Linked DNA regions of Saccharomyces cerevisiae S288C. Changing the gene in region 4 together with the main gene of any one other region gives a genetic interaction. Each region holds a gene or a part of one and is shown on either strand. Other genes may lie near its edges. The genes, in order: GLN3, SCS2, STB5 and GZF3.

What was found.
Region 1: mutations in GZF3 (region 4) and GLN3 together harm fitness less than expected from each alone (positive genetic interaction), as found in Saccharomyces cerevisiae (2 studies listed by BioGRID).
Region 2: mutations in GZF3 (region 4) and SCS2 together harm fitness more than expected from each alone (negative genetic interaction), as found in Saccharomyces cerevisiae (2 studies listed by BioGRID).
Region 3: mutations in GZF3 (region 4) and STB5 together harm fitness more than expected from each alone (negative genetic interaction), as found in Saccharomyces cerevisiae (2 studies listed by BioGRID).

What each region holds. Positions count from the first base shown.
Region 1 is NC_001137.3:228,208-233,380, forward strand, and holds GLN3 (nitrogen-responsive transcriptional regulator GLN3), read left to right. Parts: upstream 1-1,587; coding exon 1,588-3,780; downstream 3,781-5,173. Other genes in the region: Smc5-Smc6 complex subunit KRE29, read right to left, coding at 1-45; FMP49 (Fmp49p), read left to right, coding at 244-624; HVG1 (putative GDP-mannose transporter), read right to left, coding at 249-998; YER039C-A (uncharacterized protein), read right to left, coding at 1,056-1,274; YEN1 (crossover junction endodeoxyribonuclease), read left to right, coding at 4,254-5,173. UniProt on the Saccharomyces cerevisiae protein: Positive nitrogen regulatory protein. Required for the activation of transcription of a number of genes (including the allantoin pathway genes) in response to the replacement of glutamine by glutamate as source of nitrogen.
Region 2 is NC_001137.3:398,599-402,582, forward strand, and holds SCS2 (phosphatidylinositol-binding protein SCS2), read left to right. Parts: upstream 1-2,536; coding exon 2,537-3,271; downstream 3,272-3,984. Other genes in the region: osmosensor SHO1, read right to left, coding at 1-457; AVT6 (aspartate/glutamate transporter), read right to left, coding at 898-2,244; YER121W (uncharacterized protein), read left to right, coding at 3,777-3,984. UniProt on the Saccharomyces cerevisiae protein: Acts as an endoplasmic reticulum (ER) membrane anchor for cytoplasmic proteins via binding to the FFAT motif of targeted proteins. Regulates phospholipid biosynthesis by modulating the subcellular localization of the transcriptional repressor OPI1.
Region 3 is NC_001140.6:457,104-462,432, reverse strand, and holds STB5 (Stb5p), read right to left. Parts: upstream 3,135-5,329; coding exon 903-3,134; downstream 1-902. Other genes in the region: ROF1 (Rof1p), read right to left, coding at 4,481-5,329. UniProt on the Saccharomyces cerevisiae protein: Binds to SIN3.
Region 4 is NC_001142.9:208,797-213,602, reverse strand, and holds GZF3 (Gzf3p), read left to right. Parts: upstream 1-2,025; coding exon 2,026-3,681; downstream 3,682-4,806. Other genes in the region: snoRNA-binding rRNA-processing protein UTP10, read left to right, coding at 1-1,603; chaperonin-containing T-complex subunit CCT7, read right to left, coding at 4,074-4,806.

The DNA.
Region 1 (5,173 bases), on a different chromosome or scaffold from region 4:
CACAGTTTCAAACTCTTCATTCGGTGATGAGTTCACGCTTCCCATTTGTGACACTGCCCTTTTGTGCGTCTAACAAAATTTTATCACTTTATTGCTATTTACTTGAAAAATTATATATGAATATATTTCATAAAACGATGCTGACATAATATGTAACATAAAAAAAGGAATAACCTAAAACAAATACAAAGAAGACCCCATATAAATGAATATAAATGTATATTTTGCTTGAGCAAATGAAGAATGTACTACTTCTCAAGAGTAGCTGCTAGAACTTTTTGCTGTTGTATCTTTTTCTGTTTAGCCACAGCGTACAGCAGGCCAGACAGAAATCCTAGAAAGATAGAAAAGAAGGACAAAAAGTTTTTTGGAGCGTCAAAGAACACCAATCCCGCCAACGCTATGGGCAATTTGTTCAAAGCACCAACCATAGAATACGTTGTAGAGGAAGTTACACGAACACACCAGCCGGAACAGTACGATATCCCCACGGACATGAGCCCACTGATGACCATTGCTGCCAGTGAGTCGGCGGACAAGTTCACAGACAAATTCTTTGTGGACCAATCTTCCATAATGAAGGAAAAGACTAGCAGCAAAGGCAATGCCAGAACGTTGTTATAAAACATAGTATCATAGTCTTTAAAGTTAGTCAGCCGAATTCTCTTCCGCATAATCAAAACGAACAATGCAGACGAAATACAATTGGTGAACATCCAGAGGTACCCCGGATTCAACACAAAGATGGTTGACTCAACAAGTTCCTGATCGAGATCCTCCAAAGATGATGCTTTGATTGCAATGGCCTGCTGATCGCCCCAGGTGGCCACTACAGATGAAAGGACCATCATAATAAATGACGTCAACTCCATAGAAGTGACTTTTCCGCCAAAGAAGAGGACCTCGCCATAAGCAATGAGAATGATCGTCAGATTCTTGAAAATTGTGTAGATGGGCACGGCAAGGTATTGTAAGCTCTTTGACGACGTATAAATCATCAATACGAGCAGCAAAGAAATTGGAAACCAGTTTTTTACATCTGTCCTGTTCAAAGATCAAAAATTAGCAACGCCTACAATTCGTAGGATACATAGCGTCACAGTGCACACCAGTGATTGTACAAACAACATCACAAAGTTCATGTTAAAGTTGTCCAGGTTAACCACGAATTTGTTCGTTACTGTCATCAAAATCGAGGACGCGCAGTAAGATAAGATTGAAGCCGGCCCAGAGTTGGCCACTGATTCCGTCCATTCATGCTTATGCTTGCTCATAATTACCACACCTTCTTGATCTCTTTACAGCTTTTCAACCTTCCATTCTTGTACTCTATCTCTACCTGGCCCTTTAAACATTCTTAATATGATATATTCACATTTTTTGCTCTATTACCCGGCGGACAGGTTCCCGAAAGAAAGTGACATGGCAATGCTGAGAGAGTGGAAAGAGTCATCTTGCAAGACAGAGAAAGATGTTCAAGAGTGGTAAGCTAATGTCAGCGCAGTAGCCCATCCCACAATAACAGAGTGTGTAAGAAAGAGAGACGAGAGAGAGCACAGGGCCCCCTTTTCCCCCACCAACAAACAAATGCAAGACGACCCCGAAAATTCGAAGCTGTACGACCTGCTGAATAGTCATCTGGACGTGCATGGTCGAAGTAATGAAGAGCCGAGACAAACTGGTGACAGTAGGAGCCAGAGTAGTGGCAACACCGGTGAAAACGAGGAGGATATAGCATTTGCCAGTGGATTAAACGGCGGCACATTCGACTCAATGCTGGAGGCACTGCCCGATGATTTATATTTTACGGACTTCGTGTCTCCTTTTACAGCAGCTGCCACGACCAGCGTGACTACTAAGACGGTCAAGGACACCACACCAGCTACCAATCATATGGATGATGATATTGCGATGTTTGATTCACTTGCCACAACTCAGCCCATCGACATAGCCGCATCCAACCAACAAAATGGTGAAATTGCACAACTTTGGGACTTTAACGTGGACCAATTCAACATGACGCCCAGCAACTCGAGCGGTTCAGCTACTATTAGTGCTCCTAACAGCTTTACTTCCGACATACCGCAATACAACCACGGTTCCCTCGGCAACAGCGTCTCCAAATCCTCACTGTTCCCGTATAATTCCAGCACGTCCAACAGCAACATCAACCAGCCATCTATCAATAACAACTCAAATACTAATGCGCAGTCCCACCATTCCTTCAACATCTACAAACTACAAAACAACAACTCATCTTCATCCGCTATGAACATTACCAATAATAATAATAGCAACAATAGTAATATCCAGCATCCTTTTCTGAAGAAGAGCGATTCGATAGGATTATCTTCATCCAACACAACAAATTCTGTAAGAAAAAACTCACTTATCAAGCCAATGTCGTCCACGTCCCTGGCCAATTTCAAAAGAGCTGCCTCAGTATCTTCCAGTATATCCAATATGGAACCATCAGGACAAAATAAAAAACCTCTGATACAATGTTTCAATTGTAAAACTTTCAAGACACCGCTTTGGAGGAGAAGCCCAGAGGGGAATACTCTTTGCAATGCCTGCGGTCTTTTCCAGAAATTACATGGTACCATGAGGCCATTATCCTTAAAATCGGACGTTATCAAAAAGAGGATTTCAAAGAAGAGAGCCAAACAAACGGACCCAAACATTGCACAAAATACTCCAAGTGCACCTGCAACTGCCTCAACTTCAGTAACCACTACAAATGCTAAACCCATACGATCGAGGAAAAAATCACTACAACAAAACTCTTTATCTAGAGTGATACCTGAAGAAATCATTAGAGACAACATCGGTAATACTAATAATATCCTTAATGTAAATAGGGGAGGCTATAACTTCAACTCAGTCCCCTCCCCGGTCCTCATGAACAGCCAATCGTATAATAGTAGTAACGCAAATTTTAATGGAGCAAGCAATGCAAATTTGAATTCTAATAACTTAATGCGTCACAATTCGAACACTGTTACTCCTAATTTTAGAAGGTCTTCAAGACGAAGTAGTACTTCATCGAACACCTCAAGTTCCAGTAAATCTTCATCCAGATCTGTTGTTCCGATATTACCAAAACCTTCACCTAATAGCGCTAATTCACAGCAGTTCAACATGAACATGAACCTAATGAACACAACAAATAATGTAAGTGCAGGAAATAGTGTCGCATCCTCACCAAGAATTATATCGTCCGCAAACTTTAACTCAAATAGTCCTCTACAGCAGAATCTATTATCAAATTCTTTCCAACGTCAAGGAATGAATATACCAAGAAGAAAGATGTCGCGCAATGCATCGTACTCCTCATCGTTTATGGCTGCGTCTTTGCAACAACTGCACGAACAGCAACAAGTGGACGTGAATTCCAACACAAACACGAATTCGAATAGACAGAATTGGAATTCAAGCAATAGCGTTTCAACAAATTCAAGATCATCAAATTTTGTCTCTCAAAAGCCAAATTTTGATATTTTTAATACTCCTGTAGATTCACCGAGTGTCTCAAGACCTTCTTCAAGAAAATCACATACCTCATTGTTATCACAACAATTGCAGAACTCGGAGTCGAATTCGTTTATCTCAAATCACAAATTTAACAATAGATTATCAAGTGACTCTACTTCACCTATAAAATATGAAGCAGATGTGAGTGCAGGCGGAAAGATCAGTGAGGATAATTCCACAAAAGGATCTTCTAAAGAAAGTTCAGCAATTGCTGACGAATTGGATTGGTTAAAATTTGGTATATGACCGCGTATTATCATTATCATTATTCTTATTATGTTAATAATTACTGAACGGTTGCATTGATAGATTTTCATTACCTCTGACCACAATCCTGAGCATTGGTATTATTTGTTTTGCTATTTTCAGATCAAATTACTTGTAAAAAAAGAAATGGTAGTATATTGGCATTGAACACTGGCTGTTCTATTTGTATTACTTTTATGTGTAGACATATATTATTAGGAATTTGTAATATCACTCTAATTATTATTTGGTATTCTTTCTCTATCTCCCCTGTTTCTTTTGTCTATCTCTTTCTTTTTTTTTTTTAAACGGCCCTTTTTTAATGGCATTTTCTTTTTCTTATAATGCCCACAGTTGAATAATTTAACTAGCTTTTGACTGACACATAAACAATAATGTATATGGTCCATCCAATGAAATGACAGTTCTATTGCATTTTACCTACTTGTATATTCTGGATACTGCACAAGAAAATGGGTGTCTCACAAATATGGGAATTTTTGAAGCCATATCTGCAAGATTCCAGAATTCCGTTGAGAAAGTTTGTCATAGACTTTAATAAATCGCAAAAAAGAGCTCCAAGAATCGCGATTGACGCATATGGATGGCTATTTGAGTGTGGATTTATCCAAAATATAGATATAAGCGCCAGATCTAGATCAAGATCAAGGAGTCCTACCCGTTCTCCGCGTGATAGTGATATCGACAGTAGTCAAGAATATTATGGTAGCAGAAGTTATACAACTACAGGAAAAGCTGTGATAAACTTCATATCTCGATTAAAAGAACTACTGAGTTTAAACGTCGAATTCTTGCTTGTATTTGACGGAGTTATGAAACCCTCTTTCAAAAGGAAATTTAACCACGAACAGAACGCTACTACTTGTGATGATGAGAAAGAGTACTATTCAAGCTGGGAACAGCATGTTAAGAATCATGAAGTTTATGGCAATTGTAAAGGATTGCTAGCGCCATCTGACCCTGAGTTCATCAGTCTTGTACGGAAATTATTAGACTTGATGAACATTTCATATGTAATCGCATGTGGGGAGGGAGAAGCCCAGTGTGTTTGGCTGCAAGTTTCTGGGGCTGTAGATTTCATTTTAAGTAACGATTCAGATACTCTCGTATTTGGGGGAGAAAAAATCCTGAAAAATTACTCGAAATTCTACGATGATTTTGGCCCAAGTTCAATAACTTCCCACAGTCCCAGTAGACATCATGATAGTAAAGAATCTTTTGTTACTGTTATAGATCTACCCAAAATTAATAAAGTAGCAGGGAAGAAGTTTGATCGCCTGTCTCTCTTATTTTTCAGCGTGCTATTAGGTGCCGATTACAATCGTGGAGTCAAGGGTTTGGGTAAAAACAAATCTTTGCAGTTGGCTCAATG
Region 2 (3,984 bases), on a different chromosome or scaffold from region 4:
TATTGGTTGGGGAAGCATTATCACCGCCGTAGTACAGAATCCAGATTAAATTTATGATGGAAAGTAAGATGACACCTGCTGAAGCAGCAGCTTTCTTGGGACCATCCGCATACACTAAATTCGTTGCACTGTTTGTATTATACACAAATGCCACTGCAATAGATGTGGTGATGAAGATTCTGTAATGATCGACTAAATCAAAACAATAGAACAGCATTAAAGAACAAATAATTAGAAATTGGTATACTATACCCCACCAAGTAAAACGTGGGAAGGATTCATTGGTGGATGCAGATGAGATGGAGCCCCCGATGGCGATGACCCACGATACAATTGCCAAAGAAATTGATGATATAGCGAAAGGATCGGCATAAAATTTTTTCATTTTAAAAGAATGGTCGGTAGCCATACGTGAAGGTTTACGAGGAGTTGGTCTTATCTTTGATGATATTGACATATTTTGAAAACGTGATTTTTGGTGTTTCTGAAAAGATGGCGTTGATCTATAATGTCCAATGTTGTTTTCAAATTATTGGGTTGGCTACTGTTAATAACACGCCCTTTCTTTTAGCGATTCTGTTGAGCAAAGAAAGCTGATATGATAGACAATGATACCTCACTGAAAACGAGGCTCAATGACTTTATTCGTGTTCCTGTGTTCTTTGCATATTTCAGCAATCGCTGAAATTTTTATAATACGTATGAAGCAAAAGCCCGACTCCGAAAGCTGTTGTGTGTAAATAGATTGAACGCGTTGGGAATGTAAAACGCGATTAAGAATTTCTGATTTAACGCAGGTGCTAGGTTATTAATAGTTTCTTACGCGGATATGTAGGTTCAAGGGTCTATGTACGTATGGAGGAATAGCAAAAAAAGAATGAGTATACTCTTGCTTATTTAGTTTAGCTTCAAAGCTGCGGTCAGGCAGGTGATCATGATTATTAGCCCCCAGATAAACAAGAGAAGACCTGTGTATTTGAAAATCTTTGTCGTCAATGGCACGGCTGTCTTGTGCTCAGTTCCTATAAGCTTGTAGCCAAAGAGCCCGGGCAGAATGAAAGAAATAGAAGTGGAGCCTGTGGCCCCAACAATGGCCAGTACACGGGCCAAGGAGGAAACCGAAATGGCGACAAGATATGATGCAACTAAAATGCTGCACGTTATAACAATAAAGCTCTTGCCTCTCAATGGAGTCTCCTTAGGCTGATAAATAGATTCTTCTTCAATTACCTCATTGAGGTCAAGGCTACTGTCGCGAATCAACGGAGAACTTTCGGTAGCAACAGTGGGTTCATCCGCCGATGTAGCACTTATACTTACATTTTCCTCGGCGAAGTGTTGCAAAATCTGATGGATTGAAGCTCTTGCAGGATGACACTGTAGTGGGAACGCCAGCATCACCAACAACACAATCGCTATTCTGCCGATGGTGCTCGAGACCGCTTGCGGGTACAGCATGATAATGTTTCCAATGATGTTGTCGCCGAATGTCAGGTATCCAGCACAGCCGATCGCAATATATAAGATGAGAGCCAAAGATATTGCTATCAGTGGAATCTTCATCACATGCTCGAACCGGCTTGACCTCTGCTCATTGATTATTGAAAACATATTGTGGTGACATGTGTAGGCAAAGACAAAAATTGGAAGAGTGTTTAGCACGTTCAAATCATGCGATTGTGGTGGCAGGAGGTAGGAGATCCGGCCTTTCAAGCGAAGAATCTCATCTGATGGTGCTACATAGTGCAACAACACCAAAACACACAAGTACGCTACAGAAGAGATGGCCACCATGGAAGCGTACCTCAACGAATTCAACTTCTTCAGAAAAGACAGCGGGGCCACGAAAAAAAGCATGATCAGTGAAATTTGCACGTTCCTGTTCAACAGCCAAGCATTTCTGGTCCACACAGACATTATTTGGGGCATCAGATCCCCAACTACAATCATATAAGAGACGCCCACACCAAAACACTTGATAGCGATCGCTAGGTCAAACACAATACCTAGATTTGGGTTAATCAACCGCGTCAGAGCACTGAACGAGGCCCTCCCCTGTGGTACGTATTTAGCTACACGAGCTTGTATGAACAAGCTTTGCATAGCGCACGCCCCACACAGCACTATCATTATCACTCCAGGAATTAATCCAAACGGCTTGAATGCGTACGGCATGGCCAGGATACCAGCACCGCACGCCGTGTGTAAAAGTGTCAGCACACCTGATCTAATACTAGCTACCATATGATGCACGATTCCTTTCTATGGTTATTGAGCTGTGAAACTAACCCGTCGTTCGACCATTGTTGTTCTATATACTTCTAGTTGCTGTATAGATAAGCTCTCCGATCCCCTAAACGTGCGTGGTGATCTTACTCTTTCGCCCTCGCTTTTTTTTTTTCGCTTGTTGTTTTCGCAAGGTGAATAGAATGGTTTTAGTAGCAAAGTGCATTGTTTATTGTGTGGTGTGGTTTGACGCACATTCTGTGTTAATAGTGTAGCAGAAGGGTATTCTACAATCTCCGCGAACCTAAGTATGTCTGCTGTTGAAATTTCCCCTGACGTGTTGGTGTATAAGTCTCCATTAACGGAGCAATCGACAGAATACGCTAGTATTTCCAACAATTCAGACCAAACCATTGCATTTAAGGTCAAGACCACAGCCCCAAAGTTTTACTGCGTGAGACCAAACGCCGCAGTTGTTGCTCCAGGTGAAACAATCCAGGTTCAAGTTATCTTCCTGGGTTTGACTGAAGAGCCTGCCGCAGACTTTAAGTGCCGTGACAAGTTCCTGGTTATCACGTTGCCTTCTCCTTACGACCTCAATGGCAAGGCTGTTGCAGATGTTTGGTCCGACTTGGAGGCTGAGTTCAAGCAACAGGCTATCTCTAAAAAGATAAAAGTCAAATATTTGATAAGTCCAGATGTACACCCAGCACAGAACCAAAATATACAGGAAAACAAGGAAACTGTTGAACCAGTAGTCCAAGACAGTGAGCCAAAGGAAGTGCCTGCTGTGGTAAACGAAAAGGAGGTCCCTGCTGAACCGGAAACTCAACCTCCCGTCCAAGTAAAGAAAGAAGAGGTCCCACCTGTCGTTCAGAAAACCGTTCCTCATGAAAATGAGAAGCAAACGTCCAACAGCACTCCGGCCCCACAGAACCAGATAAAGGAAGCCGCAACCGTACCTGCAGAAAATGAATCATCCAGCATGGGTATATTCATATTGGTTGCACTCCTTATCTTGGTTTTAGGATGGTTCTACAGATAATAGGGAGATTGAGGATATAGCTGTATTCTAAATATATATTTATATATGTGTGTGTTTTGCCCTTTCCTTCCTTTCAGTCTTTATTTTACTTTGTTTTTCTACAATCTTTTTTTATTGTTTCCTTCTGTAGCCTTTACAATACTAGAACAAGGAACTAAAAGATCATACTTTCCTAACTTTTTTATATGTTTTATTTTTTAAATAGGAGAATAATCGATAACTATACCACTGTTGTAACATATTACTTGTTTAATTTATTCATGTTCGGTTTCCCTAGTGTAGTAGGCGCTATCTTGGGCAAATAACTATCCGTTATTAACCATAACAATGCGGGGTCTACTAAATGAGGGGAGGGTCTTGGATGCACATTAACGAAGATCTTGCGAGGGGGTCGCGCCTAAAAGGTCCATAAATAAATGAATACATAAACAGCCACCTACTTTCAGTTTGTTTTTTGCTAGGTCTCATAGTGAACGAGGGACTCACATATTGACAATATAGTAACATGGGCTTATCGCGCTGGCACGACAAGAATTCAAGGCCAGCAGAGGAAAAGAGCGAAGAAATGCAACAGGATGCGCACTACTACGCCCTTGCGGCAAGTGATAGTTTAAATGCAAGTGTTTCTAACGAATATGGTAATCAAGTAATGAACTCGTTTTGGAAAGTGGGTATAGACTCTCCCTATGTGGACGATGAAGCAATTAGAAACA
Region 3 (5,329 bases), on a different chromosome or scaffold from region 4:
ATAAGGAAATAAAGTATGAAGAAAAAACTCGAAACTAGAGATATGCTTTTCCTTTTATATTTTAGAAAGTCACCAGGAGGAACAAGGCAGGTTACCTCGAGAGAAAGCACGTTCCAGGAATCTGCTACCTCATCAAGTACCCAAAAAGAAACGCGGTGCTCGAACAATACGGAAAAAGAAAGGTGTCCAAACAATGGCAATGATTTTCCAACCCAAAAAGGAAGTTCTTACCGATTCTACTCCGTTTTGCTTTACTAAGCACACGAGACGGAAAAAGCATGCCGCTTCCGTTCCGTGCAATATATTCATTCATTTGTAATGAGCATCCAATGGTTGGTAAGAACACTTAGTAGAGTCTGAAGATTGAACAAGAGATGCTAAGAGATCTTGAATTACGGAAGTTCATTACGGAAGTTCATTACGTAAGATATTTCCATGCATCCGTCGCAAGTTCCGCCTCTTGGAGACATTTTGTCATCGCTAGCGTAGGAAGTTGAAAACGCGTATTGTGCTAAGCCGCTAAATTGTAGTGATTTTGATGATAGTGTTCCGGCGAAGACCTGCCAGCTCTTATTTCTTACTCACTTGCGTTTGGCGTCTTGTAGCATTATCTATCTTATAGAGTTACTTACTTTCAGAAGCATCTTGCAACAAACGACATAATTGCAAAGATATATATATATAATCAATTAATTGTTCTCATAAATCGCTTTAAGAGTTCATGGCAATCAACTTTTTCATTTGTCATTAGGGTTGTGTTATAAAGTACTCATTTTTCATTAAAATACATATGTGAATAATCAATAGAAGAATCTTGTCGTGAAAAAAACTGTTTCATTAAACGGCAGCAACAAGCCGCTGCCGTATAGTATGACGACATGACAAAACTCGGTGAACATATGTCATACAAGTTTATCAACCCAAGAGACGTCAACATTGTTTTCGTCTAATATGTCTTGATATGAATCGCTGGCGCCAAATAACTCTCTTGTTAATTGGTCCATATTAGGAACTTTACCATGGCTTAAACTAATATCGAGAATTGTGTTGCTAATGTTTTGGAAAACATCCGCGCATCTCATAGCAAAAATCCATCTTTCACCGAAATGTCTTAGTATTTCCACACACTGTTGAATTTCGATTTTACTTTCAATGAGGTCGATGCTCCACTGGCAAAGACAGTATAAGATAGTGTTACAAATGGTTAATGTTCTGAAAAGGGTTATCCAGTTCAAGGGTAATAACCGCTTCTTGTACAGTGTATAAGTATGTTTCCAGGCTTGCAAGCAAAACTCTCCTAGAGTGGATAGTGAGTCAATGGGCGGTTTTGGCATCAATGCAGATGGTCTGTATAGTAAGATTTGCAACTGGGAGTATCTCATTGCTAGCCAAATCTCAGAACTATGGAAGGATATTACATTTGTAGTAGAATTGTTCTCCCTCTCCACCTGATCCATTTGAGATTTTTTCAGTTTCCTTCTTTCTGATTCTCGAGAATAAATTTCGTCTAGCTCCTTGCGTAATCCACTTATGATTTCCTGCTTTTGTTCGATGGTTAACTTTTGTCGCCCTGCACTTACAGAGTGGACTTGTTTATAAATGCGACCGCCCATTTTCCTTAATGATATCATCAACTTGGTCATCTCTAAATCGTCTCTTTCATCCACATACAACGCCCTCGGTAGTGGCACAGTGATGTCTTCGTCGTCGATCCCGGATATACGGCCCAACGAGGTGCATACTAGCCTTTCAAAGCAGTAAGCACTCCAAAACACTCTATATCTTGCCTCTGCTTCTAAAGCAGACATGCTCTTGAGTTTTTTGGCAGTTAACTCTCTATTTAAACCTAATCCTATGGTCAATCGCATGATGATACCACTAATTGTCCATGACGAGGAGCCCTTTGGCTCAAAAAACGAATAAATACCCAACAACAATAGGCATCGTACAGTTTCGATATCTTGTAAAATTATAACACTACGAAATTTTTTCATGGCCAAAAAAGCCAAATGTTCACTCAGACACTCTTCGTCCTGAGAAACCATACCAGCACGCTGTAAAGTTGTACAACCAATAGCCATGATCATGTATACTTTGAAAACAAAGCTGTCAGGGTAGTTTTTGTTGTCATATAACCTTTCGAAATCAGTAATTGTCGCGGCGTCATTTAGGAATGCTATTTTATCAATCATGGGAAATAGACGGTGATTGTGTTTGAAGTATGCGGCAATGAACCTGTCCAGTAAGGATCTATCAATTGACTTGAACGAGCCATCCTCTCTGACCCACGATGTTGTTCTACCACCTTTAAAGCAACAGGACATAGTTTCAAATTCGATCGAGGATGCATCAACCGGCACAGAATCGAATTTCCCATTGGGGGCTGAATTGTTTGCATATGGGGTAAGACTCAATTGCGGTGTGTTGGTACTGCCATTGTTATTATCGTGGTTAACATTACTGCCGTTATCCCCGTTGCTAGTATTGCGATTGTTGTTTTGTAGCGGTACGGCTTGGGCGTTCGCAGGCACATGACTGCTAATTAGTGGTGAAGGCGTGTTATATCCTCCGAATGATGAAGTTGTCGAACTTTGCTGCACGGAAGCTGGCAATGATCGGGAAGGAATCATGGAATTTTCATTAGAGGATAAGTGCGAAGAAGGATTAGAATTATCATTCAGCGATGTTAGCACCGAAATTAGCGATGAGACACCTTCGCTAGAATTTGGACTTGCCCCCATGACAAGATTTATTGGATCTGACGGTTTTAGCTGTTTCATCTTATGTGCATCATCGTTTTCGTAAGGCGAAAACCCGGGAGTTATAGCGCCATTTGCGGATAGCGGACTAGAAGAGTTTGGCATGCTCTTAGTGCTCAATGGGCTTTTTCCTACCTTCTTGTTCCTTTTCACTGGAACATATTCCCCTCGTAGCATAGCATCCGCTAACTCCTTCTTGGTACGTCTTGGGGCTCTACCTGGATATGAACAGTGTGCCCCATTTTTATCGCAGTTTGCACATGTCGGTATTTGTTTACCACACTTCTTCTTTAATTTTCTGCATCGTGCGCACGAATACAATTCAGTAGTACGTTGTGATCTCCCGCCTTGATGTGCAAAATTGGGACCATCCATGTCCTTCTTTTACACCTTTGTATTAATTTTTTAGCCCTGTACGCTCGGATATTATACCTCTTGTTACGTAGAGGAAATAACCGAACCTTGCCAAGAACTTCATTGTCGGTGTTTTATTTCGGAAGCTTATTTTTCTTTTAGTATTTCCGCTCGCCCTATTTTTCCCGTGGTATCGGCCTTGTCGTTATATTCCCTGCGGGTGATGGCGCCATGAATTAAATGCGACGCTATATAATAAGCTAGTAAAACAAGATATATTATGTGAAATTAAGTAGACAATCTGTCGGAGAATCTTCTTGGCATATATAGTATAATCGAGTGTAGTTTTCTTCCCGTTTTCCGTTGAGATTGAAGCCTTTTTTTTGTTTCAATTCCTGATGTTCATCAAAATAGAAGGTTGCAAGGAACGCATTAAATAATTCGTGAAATTTACAACTTTTGCATCAACAATGGAGTAAGCCACTCTTCATTCTTGAGTGTATTACCAGCATTAGTAGTGTTCTAAATGATTCAACAGTGCTAAGCGCTTCTTGTTTTTTTTTTGCACTTTTGCTTTTATTCGGGTTGAAATCGTCGTACACATTACCACAAGTACCATTGTTTCAATGATGAATCCGTTTATATATGCGTAGCGAGTAGATATAGAATCTGTTAACATAACTTCATGCCTTCTTGTCTTAGAACATTCCTATACGCGAGAACCGCGCCGCGAAGAAGAAGCCACAGAAACATAAACGTATCCTCAAGAAGTCTTCGAGCTTTAAGTCGTTTCTCTTAGTCTCGCTTTCACAGTGTTACTGCTATCATTTCTTCACTCCTGGAGGCAAACGGATATTCTATAGAAGAAATTGGATGAGGACAAAATGTGTTGTTGCAACTTTAACTACGTGAGAAAGGTGAAAGTAAGGTATTAGAAGAGAGGACACAAGAGTTATAATATCAGTAACTTTCGAAGTGGGTATCTCACATGGTTTTGATTGGGGTTCTCGATTGTTTTGCCCCCCTGGTTTATTCATTTTTCATAACAATGCCAAGAACCGTTTTTAGGTTTGATTTCTCAGTTCCCTTGCGTTTCTTTCTCTGGAAATTTCATGATAGAATTACAAATTTGGATATGCTTGTTAGTATATGATACAATGATGGAGGTGAAAATCAGATGGTCCTATAAATAGTTTTTCGAAATCCATCGATGGTAGGGAACAACAAGAACAAGCACCCTCCTGTTTTTTTAAAACCCTTTCTGAAAAACACACAATTGGCTGCCCTTTCTATGTAGTGAAGAATCCTTTTGGAATATGAGCGGTACTTTAGGTGAACCTTTCAGCAATTGAAAGGATGCTGATCTTCTACTTTGAGTATTGGTGGGATTTAGGATTGCTTGATGTGTTGTTTTTACTAAATGTTGGTGGATGTTGCATGCTGTCTGGCGCATGAATCATTTGGTATTGTGTTTGAGCCGGGGGATTCATACGAGGAGCTGGCAAAATATAAATGCCATCTAGGTTCTTGTTGGTTGTGGAGGTGGTTATGTTTACATTTGGAGGATTAATAGAATCTGTGACTGGTTTTGGTTGTCGGTAATCATGCACAAGTATATGGTGTACTGGGGGCATCATTGTTGGGGCGATAGGCGCCTTAGAGTGATTGCATTCAGGACCCGACCTCGAAGAGTATGGATCGATATTTTGGTATGGTATTGGGCTCAATGTATTGGAGGAGTATATCACTGAAGGCGACACGCCACGCCGTTCATAAGGTGCTGCAGTAGGTTGTTGCGGGAGAGTATTGTATGTATTGCAGAAAATCATAGGTTGTGAGACCGTACGTCTCAATCCAGGCTGATAGTTAGGATTGTAAACACCAATTGGTTGTGGCTGGTGCTGCATATACGGGAGAGGTAATTTATTCTGTTCATCTATGGGTAAGAGATATTGTTGCTGTTGTCGGTGCTGCTGTTGGTGCATTTCTCGAGGAGCGTTATTGAAGGTGGTTAAAGGTAACTGAACTGCGGTCCTAACTGGAATATTTCCAGGATGGTTGTTATAATTGCTCAAGAGATCACAATAGCTCGGAGAAGATGATAAAGACCTGCGCGTTTTATAATTATGAGCTTTGGTTCTGCCTCTCTCATTATTTTTAGACGGGTTAGATCTGCCATTTCCTACAGCAACTTTTTGTAAAGCATCTAATAGTTT
Region 4 (4,806 bases):
TGTGTTACAAATTCTACCAGTTGACGAGTTTGTTAATGCGGTATTACCCTTACTCAGTACATCCACTAATGAAGATATTAGATACCACCTAACGTTGGTAATAGGGTCCAAATTCGAGTTAGAAGGCTCTGAAGCTATTCCTATAGTTAACAATGTGATGAAGGTTTTGCTCGACAGAATGCCTTTGGAATCTAAATCTGTTGTTATTTCTCAAGTAATATTGAACACGATGACGGCTTTAGTGAGCAAATATGGTAAGAAGCTTGAGGGGTCCATATTAACTCAAGCCCTCACCCTTGCTACTGAAAAAGTTAGTTCTGATATGACAGAGGTCAAGATATCTTCGTTGGCATTGATAACTAACTGTGTTCAAGTTTTAGGAGTCAAGTCAATTGCGTTCTATCCAAAAATAGTCCCACCTTCTATTAAATTATTTGATGCTTCATTGGCAGATAGTAGTAACCCATTAAAAGAGCAGTTGCAAGTTGCTATACTGTTGCTGTTCGCCGGTCTAATCAAAAGGATACCAAGTTTCTTGATGTCAAATATTTTGGATGTTTTGCATGTTATTTATTTTTCCCGTGAAGTTGACAGCAGCATTAGGCTGTCAGTAATTTCATTGATAATTGAGAATATAGATTTGAAGGAAGTTTTGAAAGTTTTATTCAGAATTTGGTCCACTGAAATAGCAACGTCCAATGATACAGTTGCTGTTAGTCTATTTTTGAGTACATTAGAATCCACTGTTGAAAATATTGATAAAAAATCCGCAACCTCACAATCGCCAATATTTTTTAAGTTACTATTATCTTTATTCGAATTTAGATCCATTTCCAGTTTCGATAATAATACAATTAGTAGGATAGAGGCATCCGTTCACGAAATTTCCAACTCTTACGTCCTGAAGATGAATGACAAAGTATTTAGACCGCTATTTGTTATATTAGTAAGATGGGCGTTTGACGGTGAAGGCGTTACAAATGCAGGTATCACTGAAACAGAAAGACTGTTGGCATTTTTCAAATTTTTCAACAAGCTTCAAGAAAATTTGAGAGGTATAATTACTTCCTATTTCACGTATTTGTTAGAACCTGTTGATATGTTGTTAAAAAGATTCATTAGCAAGGACATGGAAAACGTTAATTTAAGACGTTTGGTAATCAACTCTCTAACCTCTTCGCTAAAGTTTGATAGAGACGAATACTGGAAATCAACTTCCAGATTCGAGTTAATTTCTGTATCCTTGGTCAATCAACTATCTAATATAGAAAACTCTATTGGGAAGTACCTGGTCAAGGCAATTGGCGCTCTGGCTTCTAACAATAGTGGCGTTGATGAGCATAACCAAATTTTGAATAAACTAATCGTTGAACACATGAAAGCTTCCTGTTCCTCCAATGAAAAATTATGGGCTATTAGAGCCATGAAGTTGATATACTCAAAGATAGGTGAAAGTTGGTTAGTTCTATTGCCACAGCTCGTTCCCGTCATCGCTGAGTTATTGGAAGATGATGATGAAGAGATCGAACGTGAAGTCAGGACCGGTTTGGTCAAGGTTGTTGAAAACGTTTTAGGGGAACCTTTTGATAGGTATTTAGATTAGAAAAAAAAGGTGAAGTATTATGTAAATTTTTGTAAAGTAAAACACTATGCTGTTGAACGAAATCTTTCATTGAAAATATTGTTATTCATTCGTGATAGCTGCCCCTTTCTGAGTTTGAACTTAATATTTCAATTACGCTACTTCAAGTTTCAATGAGATATTATTCTGTCATCTTTCTCGTCGTTCCTAGTGATTAACGTTACTAAAATTACTGATCCTAAATAGCGGGCGAACAGAGTGAAAATTTTCTTATCTTCGCTTATCTGCGCTTATCAATCCTAATCAGTGAAAAATAAGATATAGGCTTGATAATAAGGTAGTTTGAAAGAGAACATATTGCAAGCGGTTGAAGCTATAATACTAGATATACGAATATCATTTCGGGTATTTGTACTGTGCTCTACAATTCTACTGGTAATATTATGGCATCGCAGGCTACAACTCTTCGAGGCTATAACATTAGAAAACGAGATAATGTATTTGAACCAAAATCAAGTGAAAACCTCAACAGCTTAAATCAAAGCGAAGAAGAAGGGCATATTGGGAGATGGCCACCTTTAGGTTATGAAGCAGTATCTGCCGAGCAAAAATCGGCAGTTCAATTGCGTGAATCGCAAGCAGGAGCGTCAATAAGCAACAATATGAATTTTAAGGCGAATGACAAGTCTTTTTCCACATCTACTGCTGGAAGAATGAGTCCGGATACGAATTCATTACACCATATATTACCTAAAAATCAAGTTAAGAATAATGGACAAACAATGGATGCCAATTGCAATAATAACGTATCCAATGATGCTAATGTTCCTGTTTGTAAGAACTGTTTAACCTCTACAACACCATTATGGAGAAGAGATGAGCATGGAGCTATGCTTTGTAATGCGTGTGGTCTCTTTTTAAAGCTTCATGGGAAACCCAGGCCAATTAGTTTGAAAACTGATGTAATAAAGTCTCGAAATAGGAAAAGTAATACAAATCATGCACATAATCTGGACAACTTTCGGAATCAGACGCTGATTGCAGAGCTTAAGGGTGATTGTAATATAGAATCAAGCGGTCGCAAAGCTAACAGAGTAACATCTGAAGATAAAAAGAAAAAAAGTTCGCAACTTTTAATGGGAACATCATCTACTGCGAAGATATCCAAGAAGCCAAAAACGGAGTCTAAGGAAAGAAGCGATTCTCACCTATCAGCAACAAAATTAGAGGTACTGATGTCGGGAGATTGTTCGAGACCAAACTTAAAGCCTAAACTGCCCAAACAAGATACTGCTATATACCAAGAGAAGTTACTTACGTTCCCAAGTTATACGGACGTTAAAGAGTATTCAAATTCTGCACACCAATCTGCTTTTATCAAAGAACGGTCGCAATTCAACGCAGCCTCTTTCCCCCTCAATGCTTCACATTCAGTAACATCAAAAACAGGCGCAGATTCTCCTCAATTACCTCACTTATCAATGCTGCTTGGAAGCTTGAGCAGTACTTCAATATCAAATAACGGAAGTGAAATAGTGTCCAATTGCAATAATGGTATTGCCTCTACCGCCGCAACTCTGGCACCCACTTCTTCACGGACGACTGACTCTAATCCATCCGAGGTACCGAATCAAATTAGATCGACGATGTCTTCCCCAGATATAATATCTGCTAAGCGTAACGACCCAGCCCCTTTATCTTTCCACATGGCTTCTATTAACGACATGCTTGAGACGAGAGATCGTGCGATTAGCAACGTGAAAACCGAGACGACACCGCCTCATTTCATACCGTTTCTACAATCTTCTAAAGCTCCCTGTATATCCAAAGCAAATTCACAATCCATCTCAAATAGTGTTTCTAGTTCTGATGTTTCTGGACGAAAATTTGAAAATCACCCAGCTAAAGATTTAGGTGATCAGTTATCCACTAAATTGCACAAAGAAGAAGAAATTATAAAGCTCAAAACTAGAATAAATGAGTTAGAACTTGTTACAGATTTATATAGGAGACATATCAATGAATTAGACGGGAAATGTCGAGCTCTTGAGGAACGTTTGCAAAGGACAGTAAAACAAGAAGGGAATAAAGGAGGATAGATCTTTTTTTCAAAAAAATCAGCATCATTTTTCAAATATAATATCATCATATGTATGCATATATAAATACATAGTAGCATAATCAGTTGCAAAACAGGGTTCTAATCGAATATTACGTACATTTTGCCGAAGAAATGGAATGCAGCTGCATGACATCCAACCCGGATGACGACCAATGATATGATTTGTTTCTCGGAGTTTTCATTACTTCTTTCATTTTTCTTTAGACCTAGAATTACTTTAAGATACAGAGTATACAAAAGAAAAGAATAAGGTTTTATCAATACAGTATTAACTTATTTATGATTGAAAGAAATTACCTTTGATGCAAATAACTACTGCAAAAAGAGTAATAATAAAATGTATGCAGCACATGTTTTTTAGAGTGTTAATTACATTGGCATACCTCTCCCTCTTCCAGCCCCTTGGGGAGGCATCATGCCAGCATTGGCACTTTCACTACCTTTATTAGTGATCGTCTCGTCAACAGATAAAATCAAGTTAGTAGCCTCTGTGGCACTGTTCAAAGCATTGATTTTTACTAAAGCAGGTTCCCATACGAATTTGGCAAAATTATCGCCAATATTTTCTGTTTCAAAGACAACACCATACCATTTCTCACCTTTGCTGTGAGCCAATCTTAGTTTGTTTAATATTTCTATAGCATCAAACCCAGCATTTTCACAGAGTTGCCTTGGAATAACTTCTAAAGCCTTAGCGAAGGCATTGATTATCATTTGTTGCTTACCAGCTATGGTTTTTGAATAATCTCTCAAGCATTTTGATACTTCCATTTCTGTAGCACCACCACCAGCAACGATCAGTTTATTTTGTAACGCTCTCTTAACTATCATGATTGCATCGTGCAATGATCTCTCAACCTCGGCAATAACTTGCTCAGCACCTCCTCTTAATAATAATGTACATGTTTTAGCTTGTGGGCAACCTTGGAATAAATTGTAGCGTTCTGACCCGATTTGCATTTCCTCAAACAAAGCACAAGTACCCAAATGCTCTGGTTTTATATCTGAAGTAGTAGATTGTATAGAGCCTCCAACAGCTTGGATGACACGATTCATATCATCTGCGCTCACTCTACCAGCGCAGAAAATATTTCTATCAGCA